Linked DNA regions of Oryzias latipes. The protein of the gene in region 4 purifies or fractionates together with the protein of the main gene of each other region. This does not show direct contact. Links are inferred from orthologs where the notes say so. Each region holds a gene or a part of one and is shown on either strand. Other genes may lie near its edges.

What was found.
Region 1: the proteins of stat3 (region 4) and hdac3 purify together in Homo sapiens (affinity purification with western blotting; 4 studies listed by BioGRID). This does not show direct contact. The link is inferred for Oryzias latipes from reciprocal best matches to the Homo sapiens genes STAT3 and HDAC3.
Region 2: the proteins of stat3 (region 4) and trim59 purify together in Homo sapiens (affinity purification with western blotting; 4 studies listed by BioGRID). This does not show direct contact. The link is inferred for Oryzias latipes from reciprocal best matches to the Homo sapiens genes STAT3 and TRIM59.
Region 3: the proteins of stat3 (region 4) and hif1a purify together in Homo sapiens (affinity purification with western blotting; 4 studies listed by BioGRID). This does not show direct contact. The link is inferred for Oryzias latipes from reciprocal best matches to the Homo sapiens genes STAT3 and HIF1A.
Region 5: the proteins of stat3 (region 4) and ptpn11 purify together in Homo sapiens (affinity purification with western blotting; 3 studies listed by BioGRID). This does not show direct contact. The link is inferred for Oryzias latipes from reciprocal best matches to the Homo sapiens genes STAT3 and PTPN11.

The regions. Positions count from the first base shown.
Region 1 is NC_019868.2:25,320,130-25,322,564, forward strand, and holds part of hdac3 (histone deacetylase 3), read right to left. Parts: coding exon 2,427-2,435; intron 2,345-2,426; coding exon 2,289-2,344; intron 2,220-2,288; coding exon 2,005-2,219; intron 1,935-2,004; coding exon 1,861-1,934; intron 1,788-1,860; coding exon 1,723-1,787; intron 1,642-1,722; coding exon 1,552-1,641; intron 1,464-1,551; coding exon 1,405-1,463; intron 1-1,404. UniProt on the Homo sapiens protein: Histone deacetylase that catalyzes the deacetylation of lysine residues on the N-terminal part of the core histones (H2A, H2B, H3 and H4), and some other non-histone substrates.
Region 2 is NC_019871.2:13,509,642-13,513,709, reverse strand, and holds the start of trim59 (tripartite motif-containing protein 59), read left to right. Parts: upstream 1-1,268; 5' UTR 1,269-3,123; coding exon 3,124-3,378; intron 3,379-3,450; coding exon 3,451-3,669; intron 3,670-3,902; coding exon 3,903-4,068. UniProt on the Homo sapiens protein: E3 ubiquitin ligase involved in different processes such as development and immune response. Serves as a negative regulator for innate immune signaling pathways by suppressing RLR-induced activation of IRF3/7 and NF-kappa-B via interaction with adapter ECSIT.
Region 3 is NC_019880.2:11,968,845-11,973,087, forward strand, and holds the start of hif1a (hypoxia-inducible factor 1-alpha), read right to left. Parts: upstream 2,803-4,243; 5' UTR 2,519-2,802; coding exon 2,487-2,518; intron 1-2,486.
Region 4 is NC_019866.2:6,345,268-6,349,293, forward strand, and holds the start of stat3 (signal transducer and activator of transcription 3), read right to left. Parts: upstream 2,808-4,026; 5' UTR 2,609-2,807; intron 475-2,608; 5' UTR 453-474; coding exon 325-452; intron 10-324; coding exon 1-9. UniProt on the Homo sapiens protein: Signal transducer and transcription activator that mediates cellular responses to interleukins, KITLG/SCF, LEP and other growth factors. Once activated, recruits coactivators, such as NCOA1 or MED1, to the promoter region of the target gene.
Region 5 is NC_019870.2:1,412,413-1,415,933, forward strand, and holds part of ptpn11 (tyrosine-protein phosphatase non-receptor type 11), read right to left. Parts: intron 3,005-3,521; coding exon 2,891-3,004; intron 1,083-2,890; coding exon 986-1,082; intron 910-985; coding exon 830-909; intron 749-829; coding exon 590-748; intron 1-589. UniProt on the Homo sapiens protein: Acts downstream of various receptor and cytoplasmic protein tyrosine kinases to participate in the signal transduction from the cell surface to the nucleus. Positively regulates MAPK signal transduction pathway. Dephosphorylates GAB1, ARHGAP35 and EGFR.

The DNA.
Region 1 (2,435 bases), on a different chromosome or scaffold from region 4:
TGACATTCAGCTTAAAGCTTAGTGGATACAGTTTCATCTTCAATGCCTTCATTAAATATCTTGCTGTCCATAGCACTAATTCCACCCGTCACTCCATCTAACATATTCCTATCTATTCCTGCCATGTCTTCCACATCTCTGACATGCTTCAGTCTCTCTTCAGTGACGGTGTTGGATTTATGATCATCGCGGTGAAAAACCACCAGGGGGCGCGCTGATATGTGTGTCAGTTTAAATATATCTGCCTAAAATGTAATAATAACCCACTGGCTTGTTCCTTCGTTGTTGCTGTTTAACATTGTTTAGTATTGAATTGTTACATTCAATAAAGTTTGAAAAAAAAAATTGAGTGAGCGCGTGCGGCGTGGTGCTCGGCAGCGACAGCCGCGCCCGCAGGCGGGAGAGGAGTGATCAAAGGTTTCCCATAGAAACCCTTGAAGTCTGAACACAGGACTAGCAGAAAAAGTGAATTATAAAGACGAGGTAAATCTACACGTTTTCGCAAAATATACTTTATTGAAAAAGGTGAAAAATATATTAACCGTTAGATATTTTAGTGGCCCGAGCGGACAAGTGAAAAATAACGTCTTGTGGTCCGCACTGCTCGAAAAACAGGACCGGGCCAGCGGACAAATGGCTATGTCGAGCCCTGACATGGTAACCCTTGTGCTGTCCTAGGCACGTTAACATTGGGAGTTGGGTCATCTAGACCCATTAGACCAGGGGTGGGCAATTCCAGGCCTCGAGGGCCGGTGTGTTTGCATGATTTCCAGACATTCTTGCCCAACTCATGGCTGATTACCTGGTTCAGGTGTGTCCAGCTAATCAGAACATGCCAGAGCAGGGTATGTTGGAAAACATGCAGGAATGCGGCCCTCTGTGCCTACCTCTACCTCTGCACCAGACAGTGCTCTGAACCTTTTTTCTTTAATGATTTGTGATCTTCACTGGTGTCCATGGATTACATGAAATCTTTCCACCTTTATCCACCTTTGTCATGGTGGGGAGAACACGTCAAAGTAAGGGTGGGGGTCATATGATAGCTCAAGAGTTAAGCTCTGTAACACCCGTTCAAGCCATCACTTCCACTGACGTCTGTGTAAAATTGCGCTTTGGGCTTCTGCGTCCACCATTTCTAGCGTCAAATGAGCAGCCATTGAACGCATGTTGAAAGTGAAGCCAGATCAATTTGTCCAATCAGGACTCAGATTTGGTAGTGACGTCTGCATTCTGTCACACAAACAGTCTCACAGTCAGTCTCAAACAGACTTTCTTGGAAAATTCTCCCTTTTGATTTGAATTTTCCTGACTTCACCGGCGGTAACGGATCTGACCTTCCAGCAGATGGCGGTAAAACTGGATAATTCGATCAGTGTAACAGTAACAGGAAGTGGAGCGTCTCACCGCTGTACGGCAGCTCGTCGCTGATGGATTCCTCCAGCAGCAGAGATGTCTCATAGGTCCTGCCGTCCACAAAGCAGATGTTACACAAACCCTGAATATCCGTCACAGGTTGCTATGGTAACACCTATTGGTTGAAGGAACACTAACCAGCAGCGAGCCACGTTCCTCACAGTGTACCCTCCTCCTCCGAGCACCAGCAGAGGAATCTTAAAACTCTTCACGAACTCCACGCACTCCCTGAAACAGGAAGCACCGTCATCCTGCTGACCACGCGGAAACGCCGCCCCCACCCTCCGTGACGCGGAGTAAAAGTCTCACCCGTGTCCCCGTATGCTAAGGTTGAAGCAGCCCAGTCTGTCGCAGCCCAGGGAATCGGCCCCACACTGCAAACAAACAGCCTCGCTCTCAAAACGACCCGCAGACAACACAATGGGACAAACGGCGGCGGCGGCTGACCTGCAGGACGATGCAGGTGGGCTGGTAGTAATCCACCACCTGCTTGATGACCGGCTGGAACAGCTGCCGGTAACCTGCAACACACACAGCCGTGACTGCACGCTCACAGCAGACGGCTCTGACTGCGCAGACCTCGGCCCTCACTCTGGTCGTCGATGCCGTCTCGCAGGGGGACGTTGAGGCAGTAGTAGCGTCCGCTCTCGGCCCCCACCTCGTACATGTCACCCGTTCCCGGGAAGAAGTAGTTCCCATACTTGTGGAAGGACACGGTCATGACTCTGTCCGTCAGGTAAAAGGCCTCCTGGACGCCGTCTCCGTGGTGAATGTCGATGTCGATGTACAGAACTCGGGGGTGGTACCTGCGACACACACACACACTTAGAAAAGGCGGGAACTGCCGGAGGAGGTGCAGAGGAGCGCCGCCTCACTTGAGAAGCTCCAGGATGCTGATGACGATGTCGTTCACGTAGCAAAATCCCGACGCCTGCAAACACAGAGAGAAAAAAAAATCTTCAACCACAAATCACTTCAACTGAACAGACAGGAAGCTGTGGAAGTTTACCGACCTCAAATTT
Region 2 (4,068 bases), on a different chromosome or scaffold from region 4:
CAATGTTAAAGGCAATGTGGAGCAGCAGTGCATTGAATTAAGATGCTTTTGGGCTTTTCTTTCTGCCTCCAGTGTGTTTCCTTTATGTTTATATTTTCCGTTTCAGCTTTTAGTTTCACTGCTTCTGTAACAGTGACTTGATGACGATTGTATTACACCTCTCCACCAGAACCTGAAGCACCGGACTTTGGGCTCTGAAATTCTGACACCATAAACCCTAATCAACCAAACGATCTGTTCCTCCTGTAACTTCCTCTTTTTATCATTTAAGTTTTACAGCAAAAATCACAGCTTGCAGTATTGTTGCCATAGCTTTGATTATCACCGAGGGAGAATAGAACAACAGCCTTGTCACATAGGATTGTTAATCATAACCTTTGCATGTACTAAACTATAGCACAGTTCTTTTTAGGGTATTTTAGTTTCCTTAGACTGTGGTAACAGTGTAATTTTTCATTTTTAAGTAAAACTGTGCTTAGATGTTACATGTTTACCCTTCCCTTAGTCTATGCTAGTGTCCAGTTTGCAAAATAATCTGTATGGTTTTGCACATCATTCTGCAAAGTGAGGCCTGAAATCTTTCTGGGGTTTACCTGCAAACGTTCTCCGGATTATGCGGCGCAACCCCGGCTTTTGATTTTTCTAGACAGATCCATCGATCCCTTTTCGTGATACTTGAGAGAACATTAACTTTATTTCAGGAGCAGCAGGAATTAATCTGCTAATGTATATCAATTAAAGAGGGACTCAAAAGTCCTTTTTCTTGTGGTGTCCCAAATGCAGACTGGAGTTGTTCTTTGTGGGTTTCCCTAAATAATATATAAACTGGCAAACAAATTTGCTGTAACATGAGTACCCTGCAGTCCCCCTCTTTCTTCCTCTTACCAGCTAGGTGTACAAGCTTACCCCCCCCTTTTCAGTTTTTGTTACCTTGATACACTGTAGTGATGATTACACATTGTGCTCACGATCCTTCTGTTTAAACATAGTTTTTTTTCCTTCCTTTTTTTTCATTTGGTTTTGCAGCATTCCTTGTTAGCAAACGTGGTTTCAAATCTAAAACTATTGAAGGAAAAAAATAAAATGCGGCTTTGCCTGAGAACAAGTTTTTTGGGAAAGGCTGCAGGATGGGTTATCTTCAAGAAAATAAATGGTGAAACCCTGAGTGACTGCGTGTGTGTGCTCTGTTGGTGGAGAGGCGCCTGCGTCTGAAGTTCGGTTCAAATCGGTGACGGCGCCTGCTGATTGGCCAGAGAGACAGTTTGTTCGCATGCGCAGTTTCGTGGTGCATTTGGAAACTGTCAAAAAATTGTTTATCTTCTGTTGTTTGTACTTCCAAAAGTAAGATGTACCCAAAATCAGAAATATTTTTAGTATATTTCGTATTTTAAATAATTTTTGCATAGGTTTGTGCTGCTAAAATTACGCGTGCTTCCGTGTCTCTATCCGCAGCTTGTATTTAGGAGGGATTTATTCTAAGTGTCCCTGAAGGCAGCACCGGTAGGAACAGGAAAAGGGAAGCTCAGACGGACACTTTCCTTCTGAAGTGACGGTGAGTCTGAAACAAATAATTTCCTTACGAAAACATTGTTTACGCCATCACATCTAACAGGCGAACAAGACAAAAAACATTTCCGAGCTGACACTGAAGTAACATGATAGCTTTGCTAGCAGTGCTAAGTTAAAAGGATTTGAACTTGTTTTGGTAATTGCGAGCACAAACATTCCTGATGCTAGACTAGTGTTTTTAAAATGAGCTAAAAGTAAAGCTAGGCACGACGTGTTCACGTCCATTTGAACCGCGGCGCCAACTTTGTCCCAGTTTCCACGCACGGATCATGTTGAGCAGACTGTCCGGACTGAGGTGCTGGGACGGGGTGGCAGCTGGCATCGAGGCCGCTATTGTTCCTGCTCTGGCGGCTGTAACAGGAGCAGAGACGGTCCTCCTGATCCCCACACAACACGATGATGAGAGCCAGCAGAAAAGCTCAGAGGCCAAACCTTTAGAAACAAGACATTCAATTTCATTTAGCAAATAAATAGTAGAGCTCTCACATTTCCCTTTTGAAGGATTGAGCTCCATCTAGTCAATGTTTTTTTTTTTAATTATTTCTCTTTGAGTAATGACTGATAATGGCTGACAAATTAATCGAATGGGTTATGATAAGATTTACATTTCAATACATATTTTTCTCGCTGCTCTTTTTACCTTCTCATTTGGGTCTTCATCATTTATATTTCTCAGATTGCGCTTGTTTAGATTAAAATAAATATATTCCTTTATTTTAGGAATTTCCTGGAGATTTTAACTGTCCAGCCCAAAATGAAAAACAATTCCCTGTAGTTTGTATGTTGTTTTATTGAAATTGGACTGAAGGCATTTTAGAAAGTCTAGATCAGTGGTTTAGAACCAGCAGCTCTAGAGCCTCTAGTTCAACTCATTGATAAACAGTTGAAGGACAGTACGTATCACAAGTCAAACTAACGTATGGACAGATTTTTGAGCGCCACATATTAAAAAAAAATCAATTGGAGGTCAGTAAGCAGTACTGGAATAAATAATTTACTGCTGACATGACACTACCTACGACTAAATTAGCTGCATTGAGATGATCCTTATAGTACATGGAGGCTTTTATTTTGAAAGAAAGTATTGGGAACCTCTGTTTAAAGTTAACTCAAAGAAACGGCTATTTCCTCTGTGTTTTGTGTTCTTTTCTATTTATCATAATGACAACATAAATACAAACCTGTGTCTTATTTTTCCAAAGGGTGAATGAAGTAAGACCTTGTGGCTCCTGCTTGATAGTGGTCAGTAAGAAATCAACCAGAATTATTTAAAAATTTTTGGTTGAATGAGTTTCAATTTTTACAAGTAAAGGGACTAAAAAGTCTTTATTGCATTACCCTTCTTGATGGTCTAAAATACTTTATTTTTATTTTATTTTCAGATAATCCGATGACATAAAAAGTGTCATGGTGCTTCAAAATAAAAGAATTAATCATATGTTTGCTTTGATGCTTTATTTCCGTTGTGCGATGCGCTGTTTTCTTTCCGTTCTCCTGACTTTCCAGACTTCCCTTCCAGGCCTGCAGTCCTAATCCAGGCCTCCCGTCTCTGTCATGGACAGCCTGGAGGAGGACCTGACCTGCTCGGTGTGCTACCAGTTGTTCTCCGACCCGCGGGTCCTCCCGTGCTCGCACACCTTCTGCCAACCTTGCCTGGAGAACCTGCTGCAGGTGTCCACCAACTATTCCATATGGCGCCCGCTCCGCCTACCAATCAAATGCCCCAACTGTCGCAGCGTGGTGGAGCTGCCCCCGGCGGGCGTGGACGCCCTGCCCAGCAACGTCTCCCTGCGGGCCATCATTGAAAAGGTGTGGAGGAGTTTTGTGCCTCGGTGGGACGTTTCAATTTTAACGTTCTTTTTCTGTTTTGGGGGCTATAAGTACCAGCGAGATGAGGAGCCACGCCCCCCGTCCTGCCAGGAGCACCCCAGACAGCCCCTCAACATGTACTGCATCCAGGATCGCCAGCTGATCTGCGGGCTGTGTCTGACCGTCGGGCAGCACCACGGCCACCCCATAGACGACCTGCAGGCCGCTTTCGCCAGGGAGAAGGCCACTCCCCAGCAGCTGGCCGAGCTCTCCGAGCACAGATGGGCTGAGGTGGGCGGGGCTTTCATGGCGGAGTGGTTAGATCTGCAAGATTATGGCAAAATGTATCCAAAACATTCAACATTTTGGGGAAAAAGCTTGAAATAATCCAAAATGCTGATGAATTTCTGACTGACAGGCTCCCGCGCGAACCTGTCAGTCAGAAATTCATCAGCATTTTGGATTTTTTCATAACAAAAGCTAGAATAGAGACAGTTTGAACGTGCGGTTGTGTGAATTTTAAGGTTTGTGAGCTGGGGGAGCAGCTGGAGCAGGAAAAAACCCGATGCGAGGGTTTGCTGAGACAGGACCGGGACGACGTGACCCAGTTTTTTCACTCCCTGGCGTTGGTAATGGCCAAAAAGAAAGAGGCTTACCTGGAGGTTCTGGACAAAGCTGCTGCTGAGGTGT
Region 3 (4,243 bases), on a different chromosome or scaffold from region 4:
GCCTGCTGCTCTTTAGCTTCACTATTGGGTCAAAAAGCAAGTTTTGACATTGCTCAAACTTGCTTTTATTAACATCAAATATAAGTGATGGAGCATTCTTGTGAATTTATCCCGACGTTAGCATGATAATCGCCACAAATTTTCATGTATAATAAAATCATCAATCATATTTTTTTTTCTAAGATTTCTTTTTAGTTGCTTCTGGGCCCATAACCCGTTGATCTTTGCAGCTTTAACACCAAAAAAAACAAAAAAAACAACTCAAAAGACAAAGAAACAATCTTCGTTAGCCTTTTGGCATATTTATGAGGGATCAAAAAGTTAAACAGCTCACAAGAGTTCCTCTCACTTAAGATTTCTGTTATGACATAACATCCATCTCTGACCTCTAAGTCTGCACTTCCCAGTGGTTAAAACCCCCAACATAGTCACAGTAGGTAATTATACAAAAATCCTAATTTCAACTTTAATTTAATTCAATTCAGGAAACAGCCATAAAGTTATATTTTTGGCAAAAAACAGAAACATGTCCTTCTATATAATCCAGGTAATCTGTTTCTAGTTCTAACTAGTCTGCTCCTTGAATGCCTCACAGGAAGCACCCATCGCCACTCAGTGAATTCCTACACACTTTTAGCCACTCCCATTGACGTCAAGACCCTGTGATTAAGAGATGAGACAGAAATTATAGCAAAACAATTTACGGAGGTCTGAAAGAACTAAATCAGAATAAACTGCCACAATGGCCAAGACTGAACACGTGTTTATTTCCAGTTTAAATGATGACCCCATTATCTAGATCTAAACAAAGCTCTAAAACCACCACACATTTAGCTGTTTAGGCAGACAGATGCAGTAGGATATGTACTTAGTTTTCAACTTTTAGCCACTCTTTGTGCTTGACCAGTGTAAAAAAATAAAGTTTTCTTTCTGAACTATAAGGGTTTTTTCATCACAAATTTTTACTACTATTCACTATGTTCATATTTTTCACCAGCAGCTGAATCATAATCATTATGAGCTTTTGTAGGTAAAAATTTTTTGTTATTAAGTGGTACATCAGGGAATTAAAGTTATGGGGGGGGGGAAGTCAGAAAATATGTCTTGCTGGGAGGAAACCTTTTTCTTTTTACTTTTTCCTGTTGAACATACATTTCTTTATTACATTTCTGCTTCATGCAAAATACTGTATACTAAATGTTCAAAGTTACATGGCTGTTTTAAGATGAGAAACTTACATTACAAAAGTTATAAAATAATATGTAAAATCTAAAAATTAATATGTATTATGTCTATAAAAAATGTCAACAAATATTTTGATTAATATTTTAAACCAAAATGTCAGATCAATTGTAATAGAGTAAAGAACACAATTATTTTATCATAAATATCCTACTTTGTCAATGTATTAAAATCCAGACATCATTCAATTTAGTAAAATGTGATTACCCTTCATTGCATCAGCTTTGATAAACTGGTAGTTCAGTTTACAAATGAGTTGTTTTTATCAATAATTTCTATTCACTGAATTGTACATTTTATTATAGAATGATTGTTAATTTTGTGTAAAAAAACTACAACTTTCAAATAATAAACATGGCTGCCTAACCTTAAAAGTAACGAAATTAACTGAAACTTTAAAGTTTCTCTGTTGCACGACACTTGTACAACCTTTATATCTTACATCATTATTACTATTGTTGCTATTATTATTATGGTTGAGTGTTACTCTAAATCTAATTATTTTTTGGAAAGCAATAATAATATAATACCAAAGGCATTTGGTGAAACAAATTTTTTCTAAAATGGGTTTTTAAAAAGCAACTTTCAGCAAAACAAAAGGCTAAAACAAGAGTTTTAAAATGAATCTTTAGTCTCAAATTCAAAACGACTAAAACTTAAGCAGACAAGGAGGAACTTCAGGCCACAAGTCACACGTGAGCAGCAGGTGTTCACTGACCAGTCAATACTATTAAACCACATAAATCCACTGATCTACTCAAATGTAACTAGATGTATAAAAACTGCAAATATTAATCGAAGTATTATTAATTATTAAGATTTAGAAAATCGACCACATCTGCTGGGATCTAAAGAAGTTTCCGAACAAAAAGCACATGATGATGGAGGGAAACGCAGAGAACGGTTTTAATGACGTAAATAAACTACATTTTAAAAATTCCAGCACATTAAATTATTTCAATATAAAGATTTAGTGTAAATAGACAGGTTGACGCCGACCTTTCAATATAACACCATTTCCGACAGCTAGCTATGTTAGCATTTTTGCTAACGACACTACTAGCAGCGATGACATTCGTATGAAGTCCAACAAACACACCAAACTGGCAGTAAGCTAGAAATTTTGGACCGTAGAGAGTAGTAAACGTAAGTGAATATTAAAGTTCTAACAAAAGAAAAACATGTTTAGAAATGTTTAAAACGAAAAGCAGACGAGTAGCGGCGTTAGCAAACTGTGACGTTACCTTTTCTTTTCGGGTACAAATCCTGTGTCCATGTCAGGACGAAAGGACTTGAGTTTAGCCTCTCTATCGGTGTGAAGCTGTATCCGGGCGCGTCAGAAAATGAACCACAATCCCTCAATGTTAATCCGTTGCCTCTCAAGTGGGTTGCATAAGAGTTCGAGGCAGATATCCTTTGTTGGATAAATCAAACTCTCTTTGGCTCAAATCGGGCTATTCGGTATACTTTCCGTAGGGTTAAGGAAAATGTGCCACGCAGGAGACGCGCTTCTTGCTAAGACAATGTTGCCTCGCGAAGGATCGTTGACTCCTCCTGCTGCCTCCCGGGAACGCGCAATCACGTGTCCTTATTTTCCACCAACGGGGGCGCGCGCTGCAAGCTAAAATCACCTGCTGCTTAAAATTGCACACATTTTTGCTGCCTGCATGGCGCGTGACTTATTAAAAGTAATGCAATTTTAGGGCAAATAGGTTAAGGTATGTATGTTCCAGGGAATAATTGATACAAGATTTTTAAATTGTATCTAAACATACAAAAAATGTGTAATTGTTTACATCTTATGTTTTTTATACAAATTCTACCTTTTAAGGCCTTTTGCAATTTTTTTTAATTTACCTTATTTATGCTATTTATGTGCTTTTATAGTGGAAACATCTTTTGTTTTGAGTAGTCTGTCACTATTCCTTGTCAGACACATGGATGGATCAACACAAACAATGCAAAGTTAACATTTGCCTTACAAAAATAAATGGAAAGTTACTATAAAGTATGTTTTCTATTTGTGTTGTAATCTGCTCCTAAAATTCAAAGACACAATTCTGTAAAAATGAAAATAAAAGGTATCATTCGACAGAGAAAAAAAAACTTTTCCTTGACTCATTTAGAGCTGCTGCAGAAACAGCAAGCTTGAGAGTACAAAGCAATAGGCCTGTGGACTGGAAATGCATCAACCTGAAGATTGCTATAGGGGAATTACTTGGAGGGTCTCTGTGTGGAGTCTTTTTCATTATCTCCTCCGATTCAAGGGATTATCAGTCAAAGATGCTGGACAGCAGAGTGAGATTGGGGACTCAATAAGGTTTTGCTGGAAGCTGCCGGAAGCTCTGGATGTAATTAAAGATGGGGTGGATTCAGATATAACCTACAGACAGCTGCCAAACATGACATATATACAGTATACACAAACCGTGGTTATGTTGCAGGTTATTACTTAGGAGGAAAATCCTTAATAAGGTAACTGACTTCTTGGGTTATTTTTTATCAGACACGGTTTGTGTTTTTACACATACCTGACATAACCCAATAAGTCAGTTAATCTTATAGACACAATGAACTTTATTGACTTAATAAGGGAAGTCTTAACAGGTCAGCAGACTTTGATGTAAATTTATATGCATTTTTTGTTGAAAAATGAATGAAAGCAAAATTTTTTCTTTTGTCTTGAATCAGCTTCTAGTCCACCACAGAACACGGGCTTGAAGTGATAAACACACGTAGAGCTCAGCGACTTCCACATTCAAACTCACAGGAAGGGTCCGTCTGTGCCGTTTTAACCTCAAGAGCTTAGCGGGGCTCATTTTTTTTGCCAAATCTCCAAATGCTTCCCCACGTAGCAGACAAGAAAATACTGTCACTCATGTTTTTTTTCCTGTTTCGATTAAAAGCGATTGTAGAGACGTTCTGTGGTTTCCTGTTTATCCTCTCTTGGTCTGCAATGAGAAAATGTGCGAGTCGAGGCAAATGTGGATTACACAAAGTA
Region 4 (4,026 bases):
GCATAGGCCCTTAGAAAATAGTGGGGGGAACACAAAAACATATCGATTTCCAGATTCCAACAACACAAAATTCCCAGGTTTATTGAAAAGAAATCCCAACTTTGTGAAAATATTTAAAGACTATAATTTTTGTGTGTGATCACAACACAAAAAGTTCAAATTGAACATGGTAAAGTGCATTGCAGTAACATAAAATGTGAGAGAAAGTGTTTATATGAGCTATGACTTCATAGCTGCAAACCTAAAAGCCCTGAAAGATCAAGGTCAGCTTTATCTAGCAGATAAAAGCAGACTTTTTAAACAAAGACTTGAATCATTTCTTACCAGTCTTGACTTTCAATCCAGGGTGCAAGAAACTGGCGTAGCTCCATTGGAAAGCTGTCGCTGTACAAGTGGTAGAGCTGCTCCAGATACCTGGTCTCCAGCTGCTGTAACTGGTTCCACTGAGCCATCCTGACAAGCACTGCCTCAAATCTGCCAGAGATGAAACTGCTTTATCAACACAAAACAGGCAGAAAATCAACAGAAAATGATACTTTAGAAAACCGCGCTCAATGTTCTTCATCAGACTGCACCAATGGGAAATGGTTGAACATCAGATTTCTCTGAAAACGACAACAGGCCAATGCTGAGGCCTCGCGTTGCCAAAAGTCATTTCCTGTTCTCTGAAACTGTGCCTTCCCCTAAAAAATATAGGTCAGAGTGAACAGCTGTAAAGCATTGAAAAGCTTATCTCTGGTCAAAGAATTGCCCCGGCAACTTTTGCATGAAACACCGACAAAGCAAACTTCTTCCTCTCAGATGCAGAGGGCATGGATCAAAACCCAGACAAACCATTTCCTCTGAAGCGATAGGCGACTGTCAGATTAGGATTTCCCTTCAAATCCGAGCGTGTGTTTTAAGCATTAACCACCTGCCGATCTGGGACTTTTTGTTGTTTTTGAATTTATCGATCACATCCTGCTGGCTGACTCAGCTGATAAAAGATGGCTACTGCTTCCTTGTTTGCAAATTGAGCTCCCATTCAAGGCATTTAACAGAAAGACATGTCCTGTACCACCCATATTAGGTTACAGGCTCCAGTTTCTGTCCGAAAGCTCACACAATGCTTTGACTATTGTTACACAAGCTTTCTCACAACAGTGTCTGTATTGTTGATTCTGCTAATGTGAACTAGATGCTTGCACTGTATTTGAAAAAAGCAAAACAAAAAATAAACTCATACATATGACCTTCTCAATAGCCAAAATAATGCTCTTCCTGCCCAGAGAATACAGATCAAAGCTGTAATAATATACAGGGTATGAACTTTCATTGCAATAAATATCATTTGGACAAACAAAAAATGTTTTATGCTATTTATTCTAACAGCAAAACTGAAACTGGAGTATTCAGAGCTTATCTGACACAACACAGGAAACTCATTTTAGGGTACTATCACTATTTTAATGTTATTTTGCAGCAAATTATATATAATAATATATAATCGCAATACAAGCAAAATCTTGTAACGAACCTCCTTACATGAAAAAATACAGGAGTACTTTTATCACAAATTTTCAGAAAAGCCTTGTACTAAAAAGTAAAACAACAACAACAACAACAACACTGAAACTTTCTGTTTGATCTTTGTATTTTAATGAAATATGAAGTAGACATTGCTGCATCATGTTGAGAAATCTAGGTATGTAAAATCGCACAAATTCACTACAGTCACTGATTAATCGTTTTCTTTCCTTTCTCAAAGCTCCATGCAGGTCACTGCTATTTGAGAAATCATCAGAATGATTAATAAGAAAGTCAGAAAGAGAACTGCTGTAGTGTTTTTTTTTCTTTTCTGTGTGGTTACTTACTGGTAATGCACAATCCTTACATAAGGTCAGTGATATTCCAGGAAAGTACTTCCTTATTAAACATCAGAGCACAGTCACCATGCCAAGTTTCCCTTTTACAAAGCCTGGGACTGCGAGATGGCTCAGGGACAACAATGCATGCTATTTTATGATATTTATGTAGAAAATTGTCATGCAGCCATATTTATGCTTTATACTATACATGTATATGTAATTCTATGTACGTTTTCAGAACTATTGGGGGCTTAAATATACCTGCAGATCTTATTTGTGCTACGAATGAACAACAGTACTTTTCTTCATAAATATGATGGGCGGGACAACTAAGGAAAAAAACAATAAACAACGACCTCCATACAAGTAAATTATTTAAATTTAAGGCACCAACCACCGGATAGTCGAAAAAGAAACACAAAAACGTCATCACTTTTGAGTCCTGGTCGTGATATTATTACTAACTAACGTCACTCAGCAACTAACATTGAAATGTGTGATGGCTTTAGTTTAAAGACTTACGTAAGAAAGACCCCTGGCACACGATGTCTGTCTGTCTGTCACTAACTTTAGGCATGATGCATTCACAGAATTATATTACATTTGACTGTAGCTAAGTTATGGCTGTAGCTCTAGCTTCGCTTTAGCACGACATCCTTGGAGAAAACTAACTAATACAATGGCAATATTTTGAATTTTTCTTTGTTTTTTTTTTTTTTTTTTTAGTGTAATAATATGTTAACAGCTGAGTCACGACTTACCACCTTCGTTGGATCCGGAGCAGTTTGGTCTCTTTCCCACAAAAAACACAAGCTCACAAAGACGTCAGCGACAACTTTTTAACGAAGAAAAAGTAGAAATTGAGCGTCATAAACGAGGAAAAGTGCTCCCAAATATAGTGTAACGCAAACCGTAATCTTCGCACCACGAGAAACCACTTTCAGAAACAAGTACCCCCCCGCCCAGCCCATCAACTAAACTGCAGTCTTTCCAGCCAAACAAACTTCCAAATCTACTTGGTTGACATTTCATTCCGCCAATGAGAGTCGCTAATTTTTTTTATACCAACTATAAACGACTTTATATGGAGATAAGGCGGGATGTAGCAGCAAGTTTGGTTGAGCCTTCTCTGTTTACCGCTGTCGCAACGAAGCTGTTCCTCAAAGCAAACCCTCCCTCCCGCGGAACTATACGGAAGCCCGTGTGTTTCGCTTATTTCAGAGGGAGGGTTGGTATTTCAAGAGAACAGCCAGCCTGGAAGTCATCTGAGTTACCGGCAACGTTGACGTCATCAAATTTGATAATGATACTGCTTCACAATAGCCAGACCTTTTTCACGGTAGAAGAGTAAAAAAAGAAATGATGACTAATTGACTACTCTGACTGCTGGCTTGAATATTAAAATGTAAACAAACGATAAAGTTGTACAGTTTTCTTTATTTTTAATTAAAAATGCAAATAACATAACCAAAACAGGTCTTACATTGCTGTTGCAATGTATTCACCTTATTCCTAGTGTGTTAGTTATGACTGTAAATTTAAACAAGTCCAAATGTACTGTAGTGAAACACATGATTCTTAGAAGTAATAACTCTATAATGTACAAAAAAAGTATTATTTTACAGGCTTAAAACACATATTTCCTGCCTCCACCATTGTAAATAATGTGCTTATTAATAAACACATTCTTATTTTCTACCAACATCATTCCACCCCTGTGCATGCTTTTTATTTCTCTTTTAGTCTGCTCTCCATCCTGCTCTGAGAGTGCACTCTCCCTAATTGCATTTTCCCACCCATTGATTATTTTAATGCTGTTTTCTGCCAGAGAGTGAGTGTCTATGTGTCTCCATCACATCAAGGTCATCACAACTCTGTAGGGAGACAAAGAGGAACCACCCTTTGCTCCTGTCTGGAGCCGTGTGTCCTTAGCTTTTAATGAAATGAGGTGTCACCGGCTGAATCTATTCTATCAGCTGCAGAATTTCAATTACAGTAGCTTTTTCTCATTTTGTTTGGCTCCTTTCTTCAAGAGAAAATGACTTTTTTTCTTCAAGATTAATGAACAGAGTCTTTTTTTTTTCAAATTGCAGTGCACACACTTTATTCAGAAACAGACACACAAATTCACCTGGTTTCCATGAAAAATAAACCATGAAAGTTTTGGTTGTGCAGGACC
Region 5 (3,521 bases), on a different chromosome or scaffold from region 4:
GGCAGAAACCTTGAGTTTAGAGAATAAAACCTGCTCCCGACCAGGTTAGGTTCACAGCATAAGTAACCATGGATACTGACTCCGAGTAAAAGTTACCTCTCTTTCAGAAACGGGTTTGACTTACTCTGCTTTCTCTGGTTTAACAAACCTCCCATTCTGAAACGGAAAACCCAGGGTTTCCCTGATTTCAGGGTTAACGCACTCAGAGTTTACACTTAACCTCCTTTCTGAAACAGGCCCCTGGAGTCAGACATTTGTTTGGATTCAGTCAAACAAACTCAGATTATCTAAAACCCTTCAATGATTAGAAAGAAGTTTAATACAAAAAGGAGTTTTTAGAATGAAAAAAGCATATTTACGGTACAGACCAAAAGTTTGGACACACTGAATGAGAAGCTGTGAATGTACTGTATATGCTCAGTTTTATATAGATATTATACTTATATATATTGATATATTCCACAAAGGAATTCAAAGGGGAAGAAAGGAAAACGGTCAGATCACATTGGTCAAAAAAAGCTGAAAGCCTCCAAAAGATTTTGCTAAAAAGAAGCGATAAATGTATGGAAGACTTGTCGGCGGCCCTCACCTTTCCTCGTTCCACCTCTTTGGTTGTCATGACGATGACCCGCGAGTTCTCCTGAAACACCATCCTCCAGAAGTCACTGATGGTGTTCTGCAGGCAGCCCTGAGTGGCGATGTAGCTCTTCTTCAGCTTGTGGCTGTTGCACTTGGCGTCCAGCTCCGGCTGCAAACCGGCAGAACCAGAAGCTGCACAAACCCGAGCGCAAACGGACCCGCAGAGCCGGACGGCGAGAGGGAGGCTCACCATGATGATGTTGGCGTTGATGTAGTCCGAGCCGGGCTCGTTGGGGTCCCCGTCGTTCAGCACCACCCGCGTGTGGTCGACTGCAAACACAAACGGCAGATGAGAAGAGGGCGGGGTCGAGCGGCCTGGAGTGGCGGCGGCGCCGGGGGCTCTCACAGGGCAGGATGTTCTTGTAGCGGTTCTTGTTCTTGTTCTCCGCCCTCTGTCCCTCTTTGCGGCTGTACAGCAGTTTACACTCCTGCTGCTGCAACGTCTGCATGCAGAGAAAAGAGGAAACTCCAGGTTCAGATCTGCTTCTGGACACAGCTTTAGCGGCGTTTGGCAGAAAACGCCGACACAAACGTGAAGCTGCACGTTCATGTAAACACAAATTCTATTATTCTATTTTATTCATCATAGCCGCTTTTTCAACAACTGTAGTTTATTGAGGACGTTATTCCAAATATCTGTACACGTCTATACACTCAAAAAAATTGGATGAACTCAATTTAATTGTGGGCAGGATTTCCATCCAATAAATATGAGTCGCACCAAATCAAAAAAATTCCTCCATGTAATGAAATATAATCGAGTTAGTCGAACTCAATTTTATCAAGAAGACAAAGCAAAAAACATGGTGTGACACTATTCTGGAAGGTAGAACCTCCACATGCAGACAGACTGATCCACTGAGCCGACTCTCCTGTGGCCTCAGGCATCCAACACTATAAAGACAGAATCATTTTCTACATAAATGAGGTTTGTCGTCTTTGATCTTACTGGGAGAAACCCAGTTGAATCCATTCCAAGCCACAGTACCTTTTTTACGTGGAAAAACACGAACAAAAGTTCAAAGGATTTGAAGGACCAAAAGTCATGGCAGGCATTAGACGAAAGAGCTGAACGTTTTAATAGTTGAATGGTTAAAATAGGTGAAAAATTGTAGCCGTAAAACGGCGGAAGATACTATAAGAAGAATAAATAAAGAGAAAGAGGAAAACAGCATCCAACCAATTAAAGAATAGAATCACAGAAGAAATGATTTTGCAGAAGGTGCAGTCTGCACATGTGCACAGCATGCCCCCTAATTATGAATTTATTTATTCAATACTGGAGTTTATAGGTGAAACTATTAATACATTTTATGTTAGGTCAATTAAATATAGATACATATTTTTAAAATAAATATATTTAAATAAAACAAACGGCATTTACTTGTGTTGTTACATGAAAGAGGGTTTGAATCCCTTTTTTGAGTGTAGTTTTTTCCCAAATACTTTGTTTTTTTTAAAAGTAAATTCAGAAAATGATGAAGTGACATTTCTGCACAGCAATCACTCCTCATGGTTATTGATCTGTTAGAATAACACAAAGACTGCTGCCCCTAAAGCCAAAACTACACTTCTTCTTCTTCAGGTGATTGAAGCTGAACTTCTGGAAAAAAACACAGGAAACCGGCTCCATCTGCTTTCAAAATAAAAGTCTTCTGACATGATGAGGACTTCCCCTCTGGCTCCCCAGACTGCTGACATTGCAGGGACGTTTGGAGCTGTAGGGGTGTCTGAAAGTGTTTCTTTGAGGAGGAGCCGCAGTGACCCACGGCTGGGTATTCCTCTGCCGGTGGGGGGGGTCCGCGTCTCGCTGGCACGCCAGGAAAAAGGCTTTTCTTTAGGCGGGTGTGCTCTGAAGCACAGAGGTTCATGACTAAATGTAAGTATTGGCTTCCATGACAACGTTTTAAAGTTATAAACCACTGTATTATGGCAGCTACACGCCAGCGGGGGAGACCGGCGACCGTTGATGATGTCATGGAGTGGTAGTCATGTCCGGATTTTCCATAACCGTCTTGGAGGGATAAATGTCGGGGTAGGGGATGAATTCAGATTCAGCCTAAACGTTGGAGGAATGTCTTTTGAGTTCCAGTACAAACACTCATCAAGCACATCAGAAAGATCCTTCATGATTCTGACCGTTAAACGTGCTGCTGCCGCCGCTGAGGTTACGGTGGGATTTCAGAGTAAAAGCACGCTCCCTGTGCCTTCAGAGTAAAAGCAGGTTGCTCCTCTTTCTCAGACCACTCACCTCAAACTCCTCCCAGAAGCCCTGCTTCACCTTGTCCGTGGCCTCGGCCAGCTTGCTGAGCTCACGGACGCGGCTTTCGATCTCCGCTGCGTTGATGCGCGTCGTGTTGAGCGGCTGCAGACCACAGCAGAAAACATTTAGTGCAAAGGTCGCTCCTGAAGGTCAAGACGGCGCCACATTAGAACATGAAGACATTACGGAACAGACAGGAAGAGATTATAGACATGTTTCATGCAAACGGTGAACAGAAACTTGGTGTTTACAGACTTTTATATATTTATTTGAAAGATAATTGGCTGGTTTCTTCAGACGAGTGTCAACGACAGGAAAGAATCCTCTGATCCATGTCGACACACGGTGTTAACATGCAAACCAAATGTCCCGCCACAGGGAAGGTGTGCAGGAATGCCTTCTTTCCATCCATTTAAATGTAAATACATCTACTTTCTAAAGTTTATAGGTTTTTTTTGTTGAATTTGAATGTTTTTCTTTAAACAAACGGAGGCAGGAAAAGGACAAACACTCTGCATTAACGCAGACATAAACCCAAGCTTCTCTCACGTGGAACCAATCCAGCTGTTTATTCTATTGTTTCCACGGAAACCCCTCGGGGGGGGCGGCGTGAGACTCC